Oryzias latipes: one gene and its partners. The protein of the gene in region 1 purifies or fractionates together with the protein of each later gene. This does not show direct contact. Links are inferred from orthologs where the notes say so. Each region holds a gene or a part of one and is shown on either strand. Other genes may lie near its edges.

Evidence for each region.
Region 2: the proteins of snrnp70 (region 1) and snrnp200 fractionate together in Homo sapiens (co-fractionation; 3 studies listed by BioGRID, with this or other methods). This does not show direct contact. The link is inferred for Oryzias latipes from reciprocal best matches to the Homo sapiens genes SNRNP70 and SNRNP200.
Region 3: the proteins of snrnp70 (region 1) and mrps14 purify together in Homo sapiens (affinity purification with mass spectrometry; 3 studies listed by BioGRID and IntAct, with this or other methods). This does not show direct contact. The link is inferred for Oryzias latipes from reciprocal best matches to the Homo sapiens genes SNRNP70 and MRPS14.

The regions. Positions count from the first base shown.
Region 1 is NC_019866.2:24,779,635-24,785,349, reverse strand, and holds the start of snrnp70 (U1 small nuclear ribonucleoprotein 70 kDa), read right to left. Parts: upstream 4,054-5,715; 5' UTR 3,849-4,053; intron 3,489-3,848; 5' UTR 3,483-3,488; coding exon 3,336-3,482; intron 3,262-3,335; coding exon 3,199-3,261; intron 2,075-3,198; coding exon 2,020-2,074; intron 1,938-2,019; coding exon 1,873-1,937; intron 1,806-1,872; coding exon 1,743-1,805; intron 1,519-1,742; coding exon 1,437-1,518; intron 1-1,436. UniProt on the Homo sapiens protein: Component of the spliceosomal U1 snRNP, which is essential for recognition of the pre-mRNA 5' splice-site and the subsequent assembly of the spliceosome. SNRNP70 binds to the loop I region of U1-snRNA.
Region 2 is NC_019867.2:18,374,881-18,380,614, reverse strand, and holds the start of snrnp200 (U5 small nuclear ribonucleoprotein 200 kDa helicase), read left to right. Parts: upstream 1-1,266; coding exon 1,267-1,311; intron 1,312-2,016; coding exon 2,017-2,180; intron 2,181-2,478; coding exon 2,479-2,650; intron 2,651-2,737; coding exon 2,738-2,930; intron 2,931-3,024; coding exon 3,025-3,080; intron 3,081-3,234; coding exon 3,235-3,333; intron 3,334-3,416; coding exon 3,417-3,569; intron 3,570-3,649; coding exon 3,650-3,749; intron 3,750-3,842; coding exon 3,843-3,979; intron 3,980-4,052; coding exon 4,053-4,130; intron 4,131-4,264; coding exon 4,265-4,438; intron 4,439-4,530; coding exon 4,531-4,668; intron 4,669-4,757; coding exon 4,758-4,913; intron 4,914-5,015; coding exon 5,016-5,186; intron 5,187-5,257; coding exon 5,258-5,451; intron 5,452-5,528; coding exon 5,529-5,652; intron 5,653-5,734. UniProt on the Homo sapiens protein: Catalyzes the ATP-dependent unwinding of U4/U6 RNA duplices, an essential step in the assembly of a catalytically active spliceosome. Plays a role in pre-mRNA splicing as a core component of precatalytic, catalytic and postcatalytic spliceosomal complexes.
Region 3 is NC_019875.2:24,412,221-24,417,434, forward strand, and holds mrps14 (28S ribosomal protein S14, mitochondrial), read right to left. Parts: upstream 3,003-5,214; 5' UTR 2,949-3,002; coding exon 2,880-2,948; intron 1,945-2,879; coding exon 1,780-1,944; intron 1,593-1,779; coding exon 1,410-1,592; 3' UTR 1,242-1,409; downstream 1-1,241. Other genes in the region: cacybp (calcyclin-binding protein), read right to left, coding at 644-661.

The DNA of each region.
Region 1 (5,715 bases):
TCCAGAAGCAGGAACCTGTTCAGTGACTAGAGTTCAGTTCACTGTGAAGGCCTCCCACGAATCTGTTGGTCCCGCTTCATTCACATGGAATCTTGCAGCCCCCAACCAGGGAGCATCTTTCCCGACCCAGAGAGCACGTTCACAGAGAAGCCGGTCAGACTCCTGCTGGTTCCAGCAGCGATGCAAAAGACGCTGATGGAACTAAGCTCTGGAAAGAGCTCAATAAGTTATTGAACGTCGTGGCACACATCTACTTAAGACAGACTGGAGATTCAACCTGCAGGTCCTTTTCTCTTTGCTTGCCTCGCTGATGTTTTGTGTTTGGTAGGAAAGGAAATATCTGCTGTTTTGTTGTTTTTTTAAGCTGTTAACTTCGCACGTGAATGGCATCATTTTTAAAAAGTCGCAGTTGAACATAGACGGCATGAAAAAGCACCTCGTCAGCAAAACCAAAGACTGAACTGTTGCTTAACAGTCACAGCTAGGCAGAAGTGAAAGCCCTGAAGAGGTTCCAAATTTCACAGAATTTGCCGGATCCAATCATGACAGTTTTTATCATTGAAGCTCCAAAAACATAAGACTATTCATGCATGTGTGAAAACTCAGCAGCCTTCTTCCAAACACAGTTCCAAACTACCACAGAACTTTCTGCTCTGAATACCAATAAAACCATTTTGCCTTTTGACTGCTGCCCCATGAGCAGAATCTAGAACCTCCAGTTTTCCCCTCAGTCTAGTCTTTTGCTGTTCTGGTCTAAAGCAGAACAGGATCTGGGCTGACCTTTGGTGCAGACGATGTCTCGCCTGCACCAAAGGTCAGCATAGGTCACCAGGTCAGACCTGCAGGCTCTGTGTGAACCAGACCAGGAAGCAAAACTCAAGCATTGGGTCGAGTCTGGACTATGTTTACATTTGGTGGCATCCGGATCAGGAGAATTCTTATTCCAACATGACCAGGGTTGAAGACCACCACTCAAACTGACAGACAAACTCAAGACTGAATGATTAAAGGTGACGAGTGATTGGCAGAAAGCCTGCTCCGTGTTTGGTGTCCACCTTGAGCTTACCATCACAGTCCCACCGGGAGAGCGGCTCTTCCACTGAACTACAACTCCTCACACTTAAAGACAATGTGCCCTTTGACAAGCAAACATGTTCAGGTTCACAGATCAAACATTTCTGTTACTCCACCCCGACGCCTCCAATAAATGACTCCTCCCCCCTTTAAACGCAACTGTTAGTCCACCGGCGACACATCGAGCAGACCCCCCCCCCCACACACACACACACACACGTCAGACGAGCAGCAGACATGGATCTGGTGAGCAGAGCTCAGTTTGCTGGTCTCCTTACAGAAGCATCAGTGACGAGCAGTGCTCTGATCCACACACACCAACACAGACTGGCTTTGGTGGCCGATGCCTCAGCCGTACTCACAGTGCATGTCTCGCTCGTGCTCATACTCTATGAAGGCGTAGCCGCGGGGCTTCCCTGTTCCCTTGTTGTAGACGATGTAAATCTGAAAAGAAAAACTCCTGGTGAGACTCGGCAGAGCGGAGGCAGCAGACATGCAGTCAGCGCACGACGACACGCACAAAGCGGCGCCAAAACGCTTCACGCACGGCTCTTTACTTTTTTTTATAGTATTTTGAAGAGCCAGGAGAATTTTCTCACATTGTAAAGACAAAAGGGTTCATGTTTTGAAGAAAATCTGGACACAGAAAAATAATAATCAATAGCTACCCGTTTAATGGGGCCATAGACTTCAAACTCACGGCGAAGTTTGGACTCTGTCGTATCATAATTCTGAAACAAAAAGGTTTTAATTACCAGATGTGAACAAGGAGTGAGAAGAACCAAGACAAATACTCACCACTCGTGCCACAAACAGAGTCTTGAAGGCATCCCCCTGAGCATTGGGGTCATTATGGGGGTCCCCTGACATGGAACAAACAGGAAGGATGAGCACAAAGCTTTTCACCGTTTGAGGAGAACGGCGTGAAGAAAGTGACAAACTCACAGAGCTTCAGTTCTGTCTCCACTTCTCCCTGTCGCCTCTCAATCTTCTCTCTCCTCTGGAAACAGAAAAGAAAATGGTGACGGCCAACCGCAGAGCCTCCAACAGCAGAGCATCAGCACAGAGCTGACATAATCCCGCACTTGGTTTCTTGTCTGCTGCCAGCATGCACCTGTGCTGGGCTCCTGCCTGGTATAATATTTCTATAGACTTGAGAGGTTTTCACCGAGGCAGAAAATGCTGAATGAAGGAGTTAGGACTGTAATTCAACTACCCCTCCTTTGAGAATCTGCATTCATTAGGTCTGTGCTTCACAGCCAAACTCCTGCTTCAGTCAATTCACAAGTTCACAAATAAATTTCCTTTATGGCTCAAGACGCTCAACTGAAACGTTACAACCCCAACATAACATTATCTGTGCAACAAAAATGGCGAGCGATAAAGGAGCTATCCAGGCGTTGAGTTTCTCAAACAACAATACTAACAAATGCAATTTTAATCCTAATTTTCTGTATACATGCCTTCCATCGTTATCTACGCAGCACAATCAGAGATCCAAACAGTAACGACTGGTGGACGCTGCAGCACAGACAGGATCAGGTTAGAGGTTTATATAGTAAAGAGATGGTTGAGTGTGCCATGAGAAATTACTCAATTTCACCTATTTGTTCTAAAAAAAAAAACATTTTCCATCGCCAGAATATTAGCTCTACGTTCATCGAAATACGCCCAGGTTTCAGTTGGGAGTACTACAGATCACAGAAGACTTTTACTTCCTATTTAAGACACTTTGATTAAAAAAAATGTCTGCACCACTACTGTGCAGCAACTTAGGCCAATGGCTCTTATTTTGGAAAAAGTTTGTAAAACACCCCCAGTTCCTCACCCTGACAAAATACCAGCTAACAATGGTGGAAGTGTAGCTTCAAGCAGGATCCGGTGTCAGACCGTGTAAAAAGTGCATCCAATAATGAAGCCCGGAGATTTGCATCAGTGTCACAGAGTTTACTACATCTCCCATGATTCATTGGGTTGATGTGACAGAATCTGTGCTACTGCCAGCTGCCATAAAGCAAAACAAACGCAAATATGAAATCTTCTGGATGAAAGCAGAGATAAACCGTTTATTTATCCATCAGGTTCTGTATTTGAGCACATGTGCAAAGGGGGGAGGAAACTCACCTTTCTCTCCAGGCGTTCCTCGCGGGTCTCGGCTCTGGTTGGTGGGGGGGCATCTCTAGGATCCTGGTGGGAAACAGTAGGAAGGTGAGACAGAGGCATCGGGGGGACGGAGGCTCGCACGTGACAGCGACGCTCACCTCGAAGTGTCTGATGAAGGGGGCGATGCCGCTGTACGGCTGGTTGTGATGCTTCTCGTGGGGCAGCTTCTCCAGCTGAGGCAGGAACGGAATCGGGTCCCGGGGGGCGAACAGGGCCAACAGGTTCGGCGGGAGGAACTGCGTCATCTTTCACTTGATCGATAAGGAAAACATGCATGATATCAGACACGGATCTGCCGCAACACAATGAAGCAGCGAAACTAGCTGTCAGGGCAGCTAGCTAGCTAGCTAGCTAGCCGTAATACCCGTACTAGCTAGCTAGCTTCACGCGCTTATTGTTCACTTCCCCACAGGACGGGGGACGCGTTCAACGCATTTCATGCATCCAGAAGTAGAACATCAGGAACCCCCTCCCACAGTAGTACACGTTATGGTCTGCGTACAAGTTAAGAGTTTGGCCGTCCGGAGGCAGCCGGAGGCGTCTGCTCCGCTCGTGGGATGTAGCGCTCCCGTTAGCATGGAGCTAACCACTAACTGCGCCCTTACACTCACCTTCTCTCCTCCAGAGTCCAGCAGCTTTTAGTTCATGGACCTGAAGGAGGAGCGGGACTGTCCGCGGGTTCGGTGGCTCAACGTAGAACCGCCAAAAAGAGACTCCGTGAAGATAAAAATGCTGGAAATGGAGCTGAAAACAACGTGGAGATAGCTGGCTGCGTACTGCGGCTGCTCGGCCTGTTGAAAATATAAAATGGCGGGGGGGACCGCCGCGTGAACGTACGTCTTTTGACGTAACTTACGTGATGACGTCAGGACGCCGTCCAATGAGTTTATTATTGACAATGTGATTTCCATGTGATTTTTCCCATTTTGCTCTGAATTTTATTGAAATAAATATAAGTTTCCTTTGACATTGTTAAAAGTTTATTTTTTTGTTAAAAAAATAAATAACTTGTTAAGTGAGAATCACTATGGGTTTGGTTCTAATAGGTCTACAGGTTTTGCTACAATGAAAGTAGTTGAAGAAATTTCAACAGCAATTGACAAAAAGAAAAATACATTAAAAGTTATCATTGATTTAAAGAAGGAATTTGACACCATAGATCATTCTATCTCGATTTCTAAACTGCATGCGTATGGGGTTAGAGCAATCGCCCACCAGTTATTTACAAAACAGACAATACAGTATGTGCAGTTTGGAGGTAATAAGTCTGATCTCATGAATATTATTTGTGGACTTCCACAAGGTTCAATTATAAATGTTTGGGGTATTTCTAAGTTGTTGCAGTTTGTTTTATTTGGACATGAAGACAAATTTCTCTGTTCAGGGATAATCTAAAACCCTAACTTAAAAGTGTTAAAAAGGAAATGAAACTTAAAATGTGGTTTGATTATAATTAACAAAAACAAAGTTTATGGTATTTGGTAATAAAGAAAAAACAGAAGTGGCTTTATCCATTGACAACATAAATATAGAGCAGGTGTCTGAATTTAAATTTTAGGGGTTATGTTGGATGACAAATGAACATGGAAATCTCATATTTTATGTAAAAAATAAAGTAACCAAGACCCTTTTTGTTTTGAACAAATCCAAGTATATTTTACCATGTCAGAGTGTGCATGTGTTATATTGCTCTTTGGTTTTACCGTACTTTACATTTTGTATTGAAGTGTGGGGGAACACAGATTAAACTAATATAATACCCTTAATTTTATTACAAAAGAGTCTCTGCTTCAGCTGGTCCCAGACCTGCTCTATGGGGTTCAGGTCAAGGGTCATTGCTGGTCAGACCATATGAGCCTAGAGACTGGTTGTGATCATTCTGGCAGCATGTGGTGGAGCGTTATCATCCAAAACTGCAAAACTCTCACACAAAATAACTCAATAGGAGTGAGATTATATGAATTTGCTTTTTCCAACTCCTTTTTTTCCTAGCACTAAATCACTTTCTACTTGACTATTTAGTTAATAATCACTATATTTAAATGTGTCTTAAGTGTGTCTTTGTTTCTGTTTGTTTGTTTGTTTGAATCTATGCAGTTGATTATCTCTGTAAGGAGTTTGATACATCCGTGTGATTTTTCTCTTGTATTGACTACAATTAATACTTGAAAGAAACCAAACCAAATCAATCAATCAACCAACCAACCTATCTACCTATGAACAACTGACTGTATGAAAACTGGACTGAGTGACTCGTCCCCCTGCGGTTCCAAACAAGAGTTACCTGCTGGTTCAAAGAAGCCAAATCTGATAGACATCTACAGAGAAATGGTTTGTGTGGATTTGTCTACTTTGTGCTATTCTATGTTTCATGTCTTAATCTGTAATGTTTACTCTTCAATGAGGTCAGTGGTTTGGACGGATCTCCTTCACCTGCCTTTCGAATACAGAAATAAATGAGCTCTTTTGCTAATTCTA
Region 2 (5,734 bases), on another chromosome or scaffold:
TATGTGGGTACCATCACATAGGTGGTGGAGGGAAATGAAATAGCTGATTTTTGTGCAAAGCAGGCGTTGAAACGGTGCGTGGAGATAGAAATTTCGTTGTTAAAAGGCGTATTATAGAAGACTGGCAGAAACAATGTGAAAGGGAGTGGAAAGAACAACATCTATTCAGTATACAAGACAAAGTAGGGAAACGTATCCATCTTACATCAAACACCAGAGATCAAATAGAAACAGAAAATATCTTTATTGTCATTGTACATGTATAACGAAATTACAGTGCAATTTCTTCCGGTGGAATAAAAAAAAAAAAGTCAAATAAAAATAAACTAAAACTGCGAAACAAGACAATATAAGATAAAAAAAATGTATTAAAAATTTACAAAAATATAAAAAGGAGGTTACATGTTGTCAAGGTATTGCACGCTTCCCTAATAAATTAACTTTATTTAGCAGCGTTTAAGGCCACGATGGCTCTCGGATAAAAGCTATTTTTTAATCTGTTTGTCCTTGTTTTAATTGTCCTGTATCTTCTGCCCGAAGGCAGCAGCCGTTCAAATCATGATATCACGATCATGGATGGGACACACGGCTTTAAATACTACACTAGATTTACTAGGGAAACATCCCACTGGACTGTGTGAATGCGGGAAAGGGGAAGAATCAGTGGAGCACATTTTGTGTTGCTGAATTATATTGGGAAGAAAGGTGGCAGCTGGAGGATAGTGTACCATTGCCAGAGGAAGAGGGGTAGAGTTTGATGAGGCTTTTGGGAGGGGGGCAGAATTTCAATGTTGGTCTATTGAGGAGAATATAGGGTTTTTTGTTGTCTTTGTAGTCTTTGTAGTTGTCTTTTAGACCAGTTGTACCCCACTCCGACTCACACTCCAAGTAGGTGGCGACATTGCACCAGGTCGTTTGTGCCTCCCGCTATTAAGACCACAAGAAGAAGAAGGAGAAGAAGTTCTGCGCTAGAGGGCGCTGCTTCGTTTCTATTTCAGTTTTTCTCATCGTTTGACACCGGAAGAGGAAGACGATCGCTGTATGTTGTGCGCTCGTGCTAGCAGCAGAAGCATTGTTACGTAGGTGAAACGCTTTTTCGTGCGTGAAACTTGTAAAGACTTTGAAAGCTGGTTTATGTGTAAAGTCTGAACACCGTACCAATGCTCAGAGTTTTACCGTGAAGAAAGCAGAGCAAACTCAACTCCGTGGACCCGGCGGCCTGATTCAGAACGTGTGGTCAGACGACGTTGAAAGAACGGCTCCACCATGGCGGATGTTACCGCTCGTAGCCTGCAGTATGAGTACAAAGCGGTGAGTGAGGAATTCAACTAAGTTTCTGAAAATCTGTTTACATACTGACATGGAACAAATCAAGTCATTTAATATTTTTATTTTTATCTCGCCATCATGCGCGTGTAGCCGCTTCCTCGGTTAGCCACGACACTTTGCGCCAAAGAAAAACAATATATGACATGTTTCTAAATAAAATACGCTTACTGAAAAATTATCAATTTATGGAATAAACAAAGCAAAGTTACACTGCGAATGGCGTAACACTTCAAAAGTTAGTTTCCTTTTAACATTGTGGATAAACATCTGCGAATCGATACTTTCCTCGTCATCTAGATTTTTATTTAATGCAAACTATGATTTCGTACCCCCATAACTTTCTTAAAAATATATAGTTTAAATCATTTAAAAGGAAGATAATCCCAGTATTATTGTTGTTTCTATAAACAAATGTAGGAGGAGGAAACTGACTCGCTTATTTATTTGAGGTTGTGTGTATATTATGTGTATATAGTGTGTATGTCTTTTCACAACTTTGACTTTTGTTTTCTTTTTCAAATTGCTACTACCTGTAATACTTGAGGCATAATTAAAAGTATTTAGCAGGATTCTTAATTCATGAATTAAAAAAGGGGATAAATACAGTTGAAAGGGCTAAAGGGATTGTCTATTGCTGTACTGATAAATCACACCTTTTTTTTTCACCTTTTTTTTTTAACCTGGTAGAACTCAAACTTGGTGTTGCAAGCGGATCGCTCTTTGATTGACCGCACACGGAGAGATGAGCCCACCGGAGAGGTGCTGTCCCTGGTGGGGAAGCTGGAGGGGACCAAGATGGGTGACAAGGCTCAGAGGACCAGACCTCAGAACCTGGAAGACAGAAGAAACAAGTCAGTTCAGAATAACGCACACCAGGTTTTAGTTTACATTTGGCCGTGGCACTGTTGGCACCATAGGGTGCTTTGTCAAGCTGACAGTTGAGAATTTCAAGTAGAAAATGCTTTAGTTCTTGTGCAAAATGGTTAAACATAGATGAGATGGTTTGTATGATACTGTTGAAATAATTTACTAAATTTAATATTTTCATCTTGTTGGTGCATCAAAATTTGTTGAACTTGTTGTATTAAGATGTATTCATGTTAAAAGTAAAACACGCTAACTGGTTTTTTCCTTGTGCTGTTAACTTAGGAGACGAAAAAGAGATGAGGACAGGCATGACATCAACAAAATGAAAGGTTTTACCCTTCTGTCTGAAGGCATTGATGAAATGGTGGGCATTGTGTACAAGCCTAAAACCAAAGAAACCAGAGAGACTTATGAAGTGCTGCTAAGCTTCATCCATGCAGCTCTAGGAGATCAGGTGAGCCAATCAAATGTGGGCTCTTGTTCAAAATTGTGTTAAGTGCTGAAAGCTGATGTCCTGCCCCCCCTGTGCTGTTGTCTGCAGCCACGTGACATTTTGTGTGGAGCAGCTGATGAGGTACTAGCGGTACTGAAAAATGACAAAATCAGGGATAAAGAAAGGCGACGTGAAGTGGAGCAGCTTCTGGGACCTTCAGATGACACACGGTATCATGTGTTGGTCAATCTTGGAAAGAAGATCACAGACTATGGGGGAGACAAGGAATTGCAGAATATGGGTAACTTTTTGTGCATAAGATCTGTCACGTTTGTCTCTGAATCGATGGGTGTGCGTAACTGAAATAATCTGAACCCTTTGTTGTTTCTCCACAGATGACAACATTGATGATACGTATGGTGTCAATGTACAGTTTGAATCTGATGAGGAGGTGAGCTTTTTTTTGTCTTAAATTGATGGTTGTTCAACCAATTAAAGCTCAGCAATTATCAAATATTTTCTTGACTGAATTTTGATGAAAAGTTTGTATTCAGTCTTTGGGTTTCACAGTTTGAACCAGTTCCTGATCTTTACTTATTTTGTAGGAAGGGGATGAAAACCCGTTTGGTGAAGTGCAAGACGAGCAATCCGATGAAGACAGTGAGGGAGAGGAGGCGGTTGTGACCACCACACTCTCTGCCAATGTCAGTGGAACAGCTGCATCCTCGTCTTTTCCAGTGTCACATCTTCTCATTTGTTTCTCTAAAATCGCTTTTTCTTCATGTAGCTCGGCGAAACAGGTGACGTGATGACGGTGAAGAAAAAAGATTTACATCCTCGGGACATCGATGCCTTCTGGCTCCAGCGTCAACTCAGCCGTTTCTATGACGATGCCATCGTGTCACAGAAGAAAGCGGACGAAGTCTTAGAAATCCTCAAAGTATGTTTACCGCCTTGCCTGCTCACAGTAGATTCTCTAATCATTCCCAGGTGCGTTGATGTCTCCTTTTTGTGTCACAGACAGCCAGTGATGACAGAGAATGTGAGAACCAGCTGGTGTTGCTGTTGGGTTTCAACACTTTTGATTTCATTAAAATCCTCCGTCAGCATCGGCGCATGAGTAAGAGAAATGATCTAAATCAGATTCATTTTCTGTTTTTTGTTTTTGTATGTTTGTTTGTTTATAGCTGCTTTTTCCATCTCTAACCCACAGTTCAGTATTGTACAATGCTAGCAAGCGCTCAGAGTGAGGCAGAAAAGGAGAGGATCATTGGAAAGATGGAGTCTGATCCGGAGCTGTCAAAGATTCTCTACAAGCTGCAAGAGACGGAAAAGGAGGACATCATTCGAGTTAGATTTGTTGTTTGTTAAAGAAACATTTAGTCTTTTGGTTTGTATAATAAAAGTAATATTTTTTTATTAGGAAGAACAATCTCGTAGAGAGCGAGTGAGGAAGTCTCGTGTTGATGACTTGGAAGCGATGGACACTGACCATGGAGAGGTAAATTGTACAAGGAGTCAGCAGTTGGAATCTTTCACTGCCTTTTATCACTTTATATGTATATAAGAAGTTACGTTGGTTTGTTTTCTCTGAAGATGCCATCAAGAGTTTCGTGTTGTTCTTGTTTCCTGCAGTCAGTGATGCCTCGACAGATTTTGGACCTGGAAGACCTGACCTTCACCCAGGGGAGTCATTTCATGGCTAACAAACGCTGCCAGCTCCCAGACGGCTCTTTTCGCAAACAGCGCAAAGGTTATGAAGAAGTTCACGTTCCCGCCCTGAAACCCAAAGCTTTCGCTGACAACGAGGTTCGTCTGTTGCGTCTTTTGTTGTTAAGTACAAAACTTTCATCTTTTAAACGCAGCAGTGTCTGAAATTTTGGTTGCTTATCTTTCATCAGGTACTTGTTTCCATCGACAAGTTGCCCAAGTATGCTCAGGCTGGGTTTGAAGGTTTCAAAACTCTAAATCGAATCCAGAGTAAACTGTTCAAGTCTGCAATGGACACAGACGAAAACCTTCTAGTGTGTGCTCCCACGGTGAGTGAGCCCTGCACAAGCCAAAGGCGGCGGGAAAGTCATCCTGAACTCCGTTGTCAACATTAATCCTGGTATTGTTTTGTGTACAGGGAGCTGGTAAGACCAATGTTGCCCTAATGGCAATGTTAAGAGAAATTGGAAAGCATATAAACATGGACGGCACGATCAACGTGGACGATTTCAAAATCATCTACATTGCACCCATGCGCTCGCTTGTACAAGAGATGGTGGGAAGTTTTAGTAAGGTAAGCTGCATGCCCTTCCTTAAAAGCGTTGATTTCATGCATCAAGGAGTATCGCAAGCTTCAGGAGAGGGTTTTAGAGGTGACGGCTTTCCTTTTTTGCAGCGATTGGCAAGTTACGGCATCACCGTGTCTGAGCTGACAGGAGACCACCAACTCTGTAAAGAGGAGATCAACGCCACTCAGATCATTGTCTGCACCCCAGAAAAGTGGGATATCATTACTCGGAAAGGGGGAGAACGTACTTACACTCAGCTAGTGCGCCTCATCATCATTGTAAGTTGATTTAGAAAGGTATTATTCATTTCATTTTTGACAATCAGAATAACCAAAATAATTCGATATAGGATGAAATTCACCTGCTGCACGATGACCGTGGTCCTGTGCTGGAATCCCTGATCGCAAGGACCATTCGCAATGTGGAGCTGACCCAAGACGATGTCCGCCTGTTGGGTCTCAGTGCCACACTACCCAACTACGAAGATGTGGCAACGTGCCTGCGCGTGGATCCTGCAAAGGGACTGTTCTACTTTGACAACAGGTTTGTTTCAAAGCAGAAACTGCATGTGTGTGTATTCTCTTAACTCAATTCTTGTGCTTTTTTATTTTTGTTTGTAGTTTCCGCCCTGTGCCCCTGGAGCAGACTTATGTTGGCATCACAGAGAAGAAAGCCATCAAGCGTTTCCAGATCATGAACGAGATTGTTTATGAAAAAATCATGGAGCATGCTGGGAAGAACCAGGTGCGCCTTTCTGTTTGTTTTTTGTCATTGAGACAAACATTTTAATCTGAAATTCCTTTAAATCCTGGCTCCAATTTATCAC
Region 3 (5,214 bases), on another chromosome or scaffold:
ATGGAAATGTTTTAACGTACACTGTTCGATTAAACACATTTATGCAAAGACATGATTAAGAAATTCACCTAAAAACATAAAAAAGCATTAATTAAAAGCAAAACTCACATGATTTTAATCAAAATATAAAAACCAAAGCAAAGCATGGCTCTATTATGACTTAAGTTTAATTATCACGACATATAATAAAATAAACCTCAACATTTACGAGTAAGGATATTCAATAGCATCCAATAGGAATTGAGATATTGTCGCTTTCAATCGTTTTTCTATCATTTAAAATGCTATAAAGCAACTCCGAAGGAAGTGTAGCGCAGAACCCGCGAGCGTGATGTTGCTAGAAGGTTCTAGTAAACTTCATGAGCACAACTGAACGTCAATCATCACAGGGACTTTTCTCGCCCTCAACGTTTGTCACTGTGACAAACTAAACAAGCTTTTCAAACAATCGTCTAAAAAAATATACAGACAGAAAGAAACAAAGCAAAGCATACAAAAAAATCCGTTAAGGGCAAGCGGCTAACCGACAGCTAACACAACACATCGCCCAACTATTGAGACCGACGTAAATTTAACAAACTCATCCAAATAGACAATGATTTTTTCTTCTAAAATAATACTTTGGCCAAGACATGTTTCTTACCTGTTCCGTTAGATCCATTCTGGTTCTTCAAATTCCACTCAGTTTTGTCAAGCAGCACAGCTCTTCGCAGTGAGGAGTTCTAACAATTTGGTTTGGCCCTCTTTAGAATTATTTCCTGCTGTTAAAAGTTCCTTTAATCTCATTACTGCCACCCAGTGGTTGGAATAAGTAAGATCAGAACAATACACAACAGTAAGATATATTTATTTTAAATTTAGCAGATTTTACGTACTGTAAATTACTAGTGGCAATATTTATACTCACGAGTTATTTTTTATTTTATTTTAAAGCAGCTATTTCTATTTAGGGTGAGTATATGACCTGACAACAAAAACATTTAGCAACTTGTATCACTGGGACACTTTATTTATTTTTTTTTAGAAATACCATCATGTTCAAATTAAACACCATAAATTAATCCTTTAATAACACTGTGAAGCTTCAAACAGCCGTGTTGAAAATTACACAGCACATGAATGCTTAATGATGGCTTTAACTTTTCACATCAGTAGATCATTCAGAAGCATTTTTCTCCACAATAAACACAGTGTTTGTGTTTATTACCACCACATAAAAAAGAAGGAAAAAAAAAACAGGACACTTTTGTACAACAATATTTATTATGTTTTGTTTTTTTTTACTCTTAGTCGAGCTTAAATACTCAATATTTGCATTACTTCTTTAAGTTCACACAACATTCTAGAAATCTGCAACCTGCATTGCTTTGTTAACACACAATCTTACAGACGAATCCAATAGACCACATTCACCACCTTGCCCTGAGAATCCCTGACATCTGGTTGTGGTCAGCTAGGTGTCGGAATACAATTCGACTCAGTCGCCACCTCCGCTTCACTCCTCGGGGCCGGGAAGTCATCACACACCTGTTGCGTATCCTCACAGGGCAGCTATCTCTCGGGAGTGCTGCAATTTCTTTGTCTGCTATCTCCTATGAAGACAATTAGACAGGGTTTAGGGATTGTCCGCTACTGGTGTACTTTCAGCTGTTTGACATATATTGTGTGTGCAACTAGAACTTTTGTAAAATCGTGACTCTTTAAATAATAAGAGCATACTGTCAAACTTATGGTGTGGCACAATGAGGAACTAGTTGTAAATAGGAAGCTGGAGCCTACCTGAAGCTCTTTAGGCAGGATAGTATTCTTTCTTAATGCATTGATCCGTAGCCTTTCATCTGCATAATCGAAGGCCATCTGTCTTCTTTTGACGTCCCTCAGCATCCTCCAGTCAACATAATAGCTTCTCATCTGCTCCACAGCTCCCCAGCAGCTTCTTAGTGCCTGCACACAACACACATCAAGTTTCTGACAGGTTTCTCTCCATTTACCACACATTTGCAATCTATTTTCTCTGGTTTTAAGTTTTCACTTGATCTTAGTTCTGTAATGCAAGAGGTGCTTGACAAAATATTGTAAAAGAAGTCTGTTTGCGATCATCAGTTTAAAAATAATTCCTTCTCATTTTGCGGGCTTGAAACAAGTGGTCCAATAATCTCTTTTTTTATTGCTTTGGCACAGTTAAACTAACACTGTTATAGCAGCTTATAGAGTACACCAAAACAAGATAGTAGGTCATGTAAATCGGACCATCTTTAAAAAAACAGTAATGTAAAAGATTAAAAAAATGTAAATGTTTTAGGCTTTTTAAGACCAAGAATATAAAATTTAGTATTACAAATTGACCACTGACAGAGAGAAGTGTATTTGGTTCACTGCTTCATCATTGGTTTAATGAATACAAATATCTCTACTTTTTCCATAAATGTTCTTAACGTGTTTTTTTTAATCATGTTTGTCATAATGTCGGATAAGTCAATGTCGAACCCTGATGCAAACGCAGGCTCTGACTAATTGGTTTATCAGAAATGTAATGAGAGCTGCCTGTACCGTCTGCAGAAAACGCAGCAAAGGGAGAGGTCATAATAATGTCAGTCGATGTTCACAATATGTTAACTTTATACAAAAATGTCAGTCTCTATTCTACAACAGTTTTAAGATAAAGTTACTCTCAATTACTGTCTATCCTCCTCAACACAATTTGAACAGTAAAGGAATTTATTATTAAAGTTAAATTTCGCAGCAATTTTATGTCTCCGAGTTAGCTAACATAGTCCAGGTCAAAAAGAGTTTTTGCACCCTTTATTTGAAACTACATGGGGCGATTTTACAAAAAAAAAAAAAAAACATAGGTCAAAACGTTAATACGTGACCTTTACCTGATTTGGTGAGAAGACTGTAGAATAAACGGCATTTAACCCCAAACATGTTAGCCGGCGGGCCGCCATATTGGTTTAAGAGTGTCCTCTTCACGACGTGAGCAGGATATGACCATGGTGAGGCTGAAAGTGTCGCCACCTAACGACCAGGAGGGCGCACAACAAAAACCAGAGCCGTTGTAATCTTTAAGAATTAAATAACCATGACGGTAAAATATGTCTGAAAAATGCACACTAACCAATAATATGTTCTTAAATTTTTATTGATAGTCATAGCTCAATTTTCAACTATTAAGTTAGGTTTAGTGGGAATATAAAACATATAAAAACATGTTGATTCTACATTTCTTTTTAATGTTTTGAATTGGAAAGCAAGCTTTACTATGATAGAAACTTGTCAAAACACATTTAAACAACACATTTTATGGTGAAGATAAGAAAAAATTACAAGACCAATGTGACAATCCTACCAGTAGGTGGCAGTGTAGCGCTTCTGTTTTCAAACCTTCACAAATCTCAAGTTATTATAATTTTGTAATGAAAAAATGATAAATACATTTCATTAAACTTAAATTCAGCAGTTTCGTATTATTATTATTATTATTGTTATTATTGGTATTATTTGGTATCCAACAGAATCCCAAACATCTGAGCTTCAGCAGGATGCCCAGCTGTTTTAAAACCTTGAAGGGTAAAAAAAAAAAAAATACATGGATGCAGATAAACAACAGAAGCTGATTCTATTAAACAATTCTCGTTATTTTAGAGCCTGTAGGGGATGCGTTCATGGTTAAGTATTAACACATGAGGTTTGGGAGTGCTTCCTCTATAAAAAGGAACATTTTGTGGCTGTAAAAGCTGCAAAGGAATTTGAAAATTGAACAAGAGAAACCAGTTCATCTCTGTTGTCTGCAACTGACTACATTTTACACTTTTCATTGAGGATGTAGCAACGTGTCAAATATTTTTTTTTATTTGGATTTAAATGAAATCTAAATGTCTGACTTAAGTTTGCCATAATGGCAAAAAATATTTTATAAGGAAGTTACTGGTTCTTGAAATGGACAAATATTCTTATTAAAATTAAAAAAATAACGGCATCGTCTAGAATAATATATAGTTTATTTGCTGTTGTTTTGTTCCTCAAGGTCTAGTACTCAGTTCAGACTTTTAAAGGAACTATTTTGGGTTCACCAAGAAGACCAGAAGTTTGTGAAGTTATTCCTTATTATGTAAATATTGAGGACAGCCATGGGTCTTAGATGCATCCCTCAAGGACAGAGAAACAAGAGATTTTCGACAAATTTTCTTAAACCTTTGAAAGCAGGAACTGGGTTTTGCTGTGGTTGATTAAAAGTGTACCTCTCTGCTGCAAGCCTTTCAGCATCCTTGGTTTAAACTTTTGATTTATCCCTATTTTTAAGCCCTATTTGGGTAAACAATCCTTTATCTGATTAAATTCAGCAACAGCATCAGACAAAATACAAAGAACATCTGTACACAGACAGAACAAGCAGCTTTGAGGATGTGTCGTTTGATGCTTTCAAGCATCCCGCTGTGGCTTCAAAACATATGAATGTTCAAAGGAGAACATTTCCCCAAACTGGGACTTCTCAAGGTCCAAGACTAAAGTACCTTGTACTCAAATCTTACACCACAATTGTGCACTGATGTTCCAAGACCTCAGAAAGACGTTTTTACACTAAAGTCACACTATGTCAGACTGGTGTGTTTGTGAGTTCAGCGGAGATTACTCAGACTGCTAACCTCATCTATAAAACTGACAGCAGTCAAGTGAGGACGGTCAGCACCGTGACACCATGTAACTTAGGGTGGAAGGACAGGTCACAAACCACAGCATCTTGCAGAACAGACTAAACAAACAAGTAATGCACAGTTTCACTCTCTCAGAAGATACGTTTACATTCCTCCACACGTGGGGCCAGTTGGCTTCGACAGAGAATGAAATCCAAAGTATATTTTGATCAACAATTACAGCTTCACAGTGGGATATATGATCATGACAACCTTTTCTAAGCAATATAATGAATGTAATTTTCCAGTTTCCATTCCACAGTGATAGCAAATTAACTGAATGGGTTGTGTACTGCACGTGTGCAAAAACACAACATTTAAATGCACGCACTCTCTTAATGATACATTTAAACAGAAATGTAATCATATTAAGTAACCCTTGTGCTACCTTAGATGACCCCACCCTTACATTGACGTGTTCTCCCTACTATGACAAAGGTGGATAAAGGTGGAAAGATTTCATGTAATCCATGGACACCAGTGAAGATCACAAATCATTGAAGAAAAAAGGGTTAGAGCA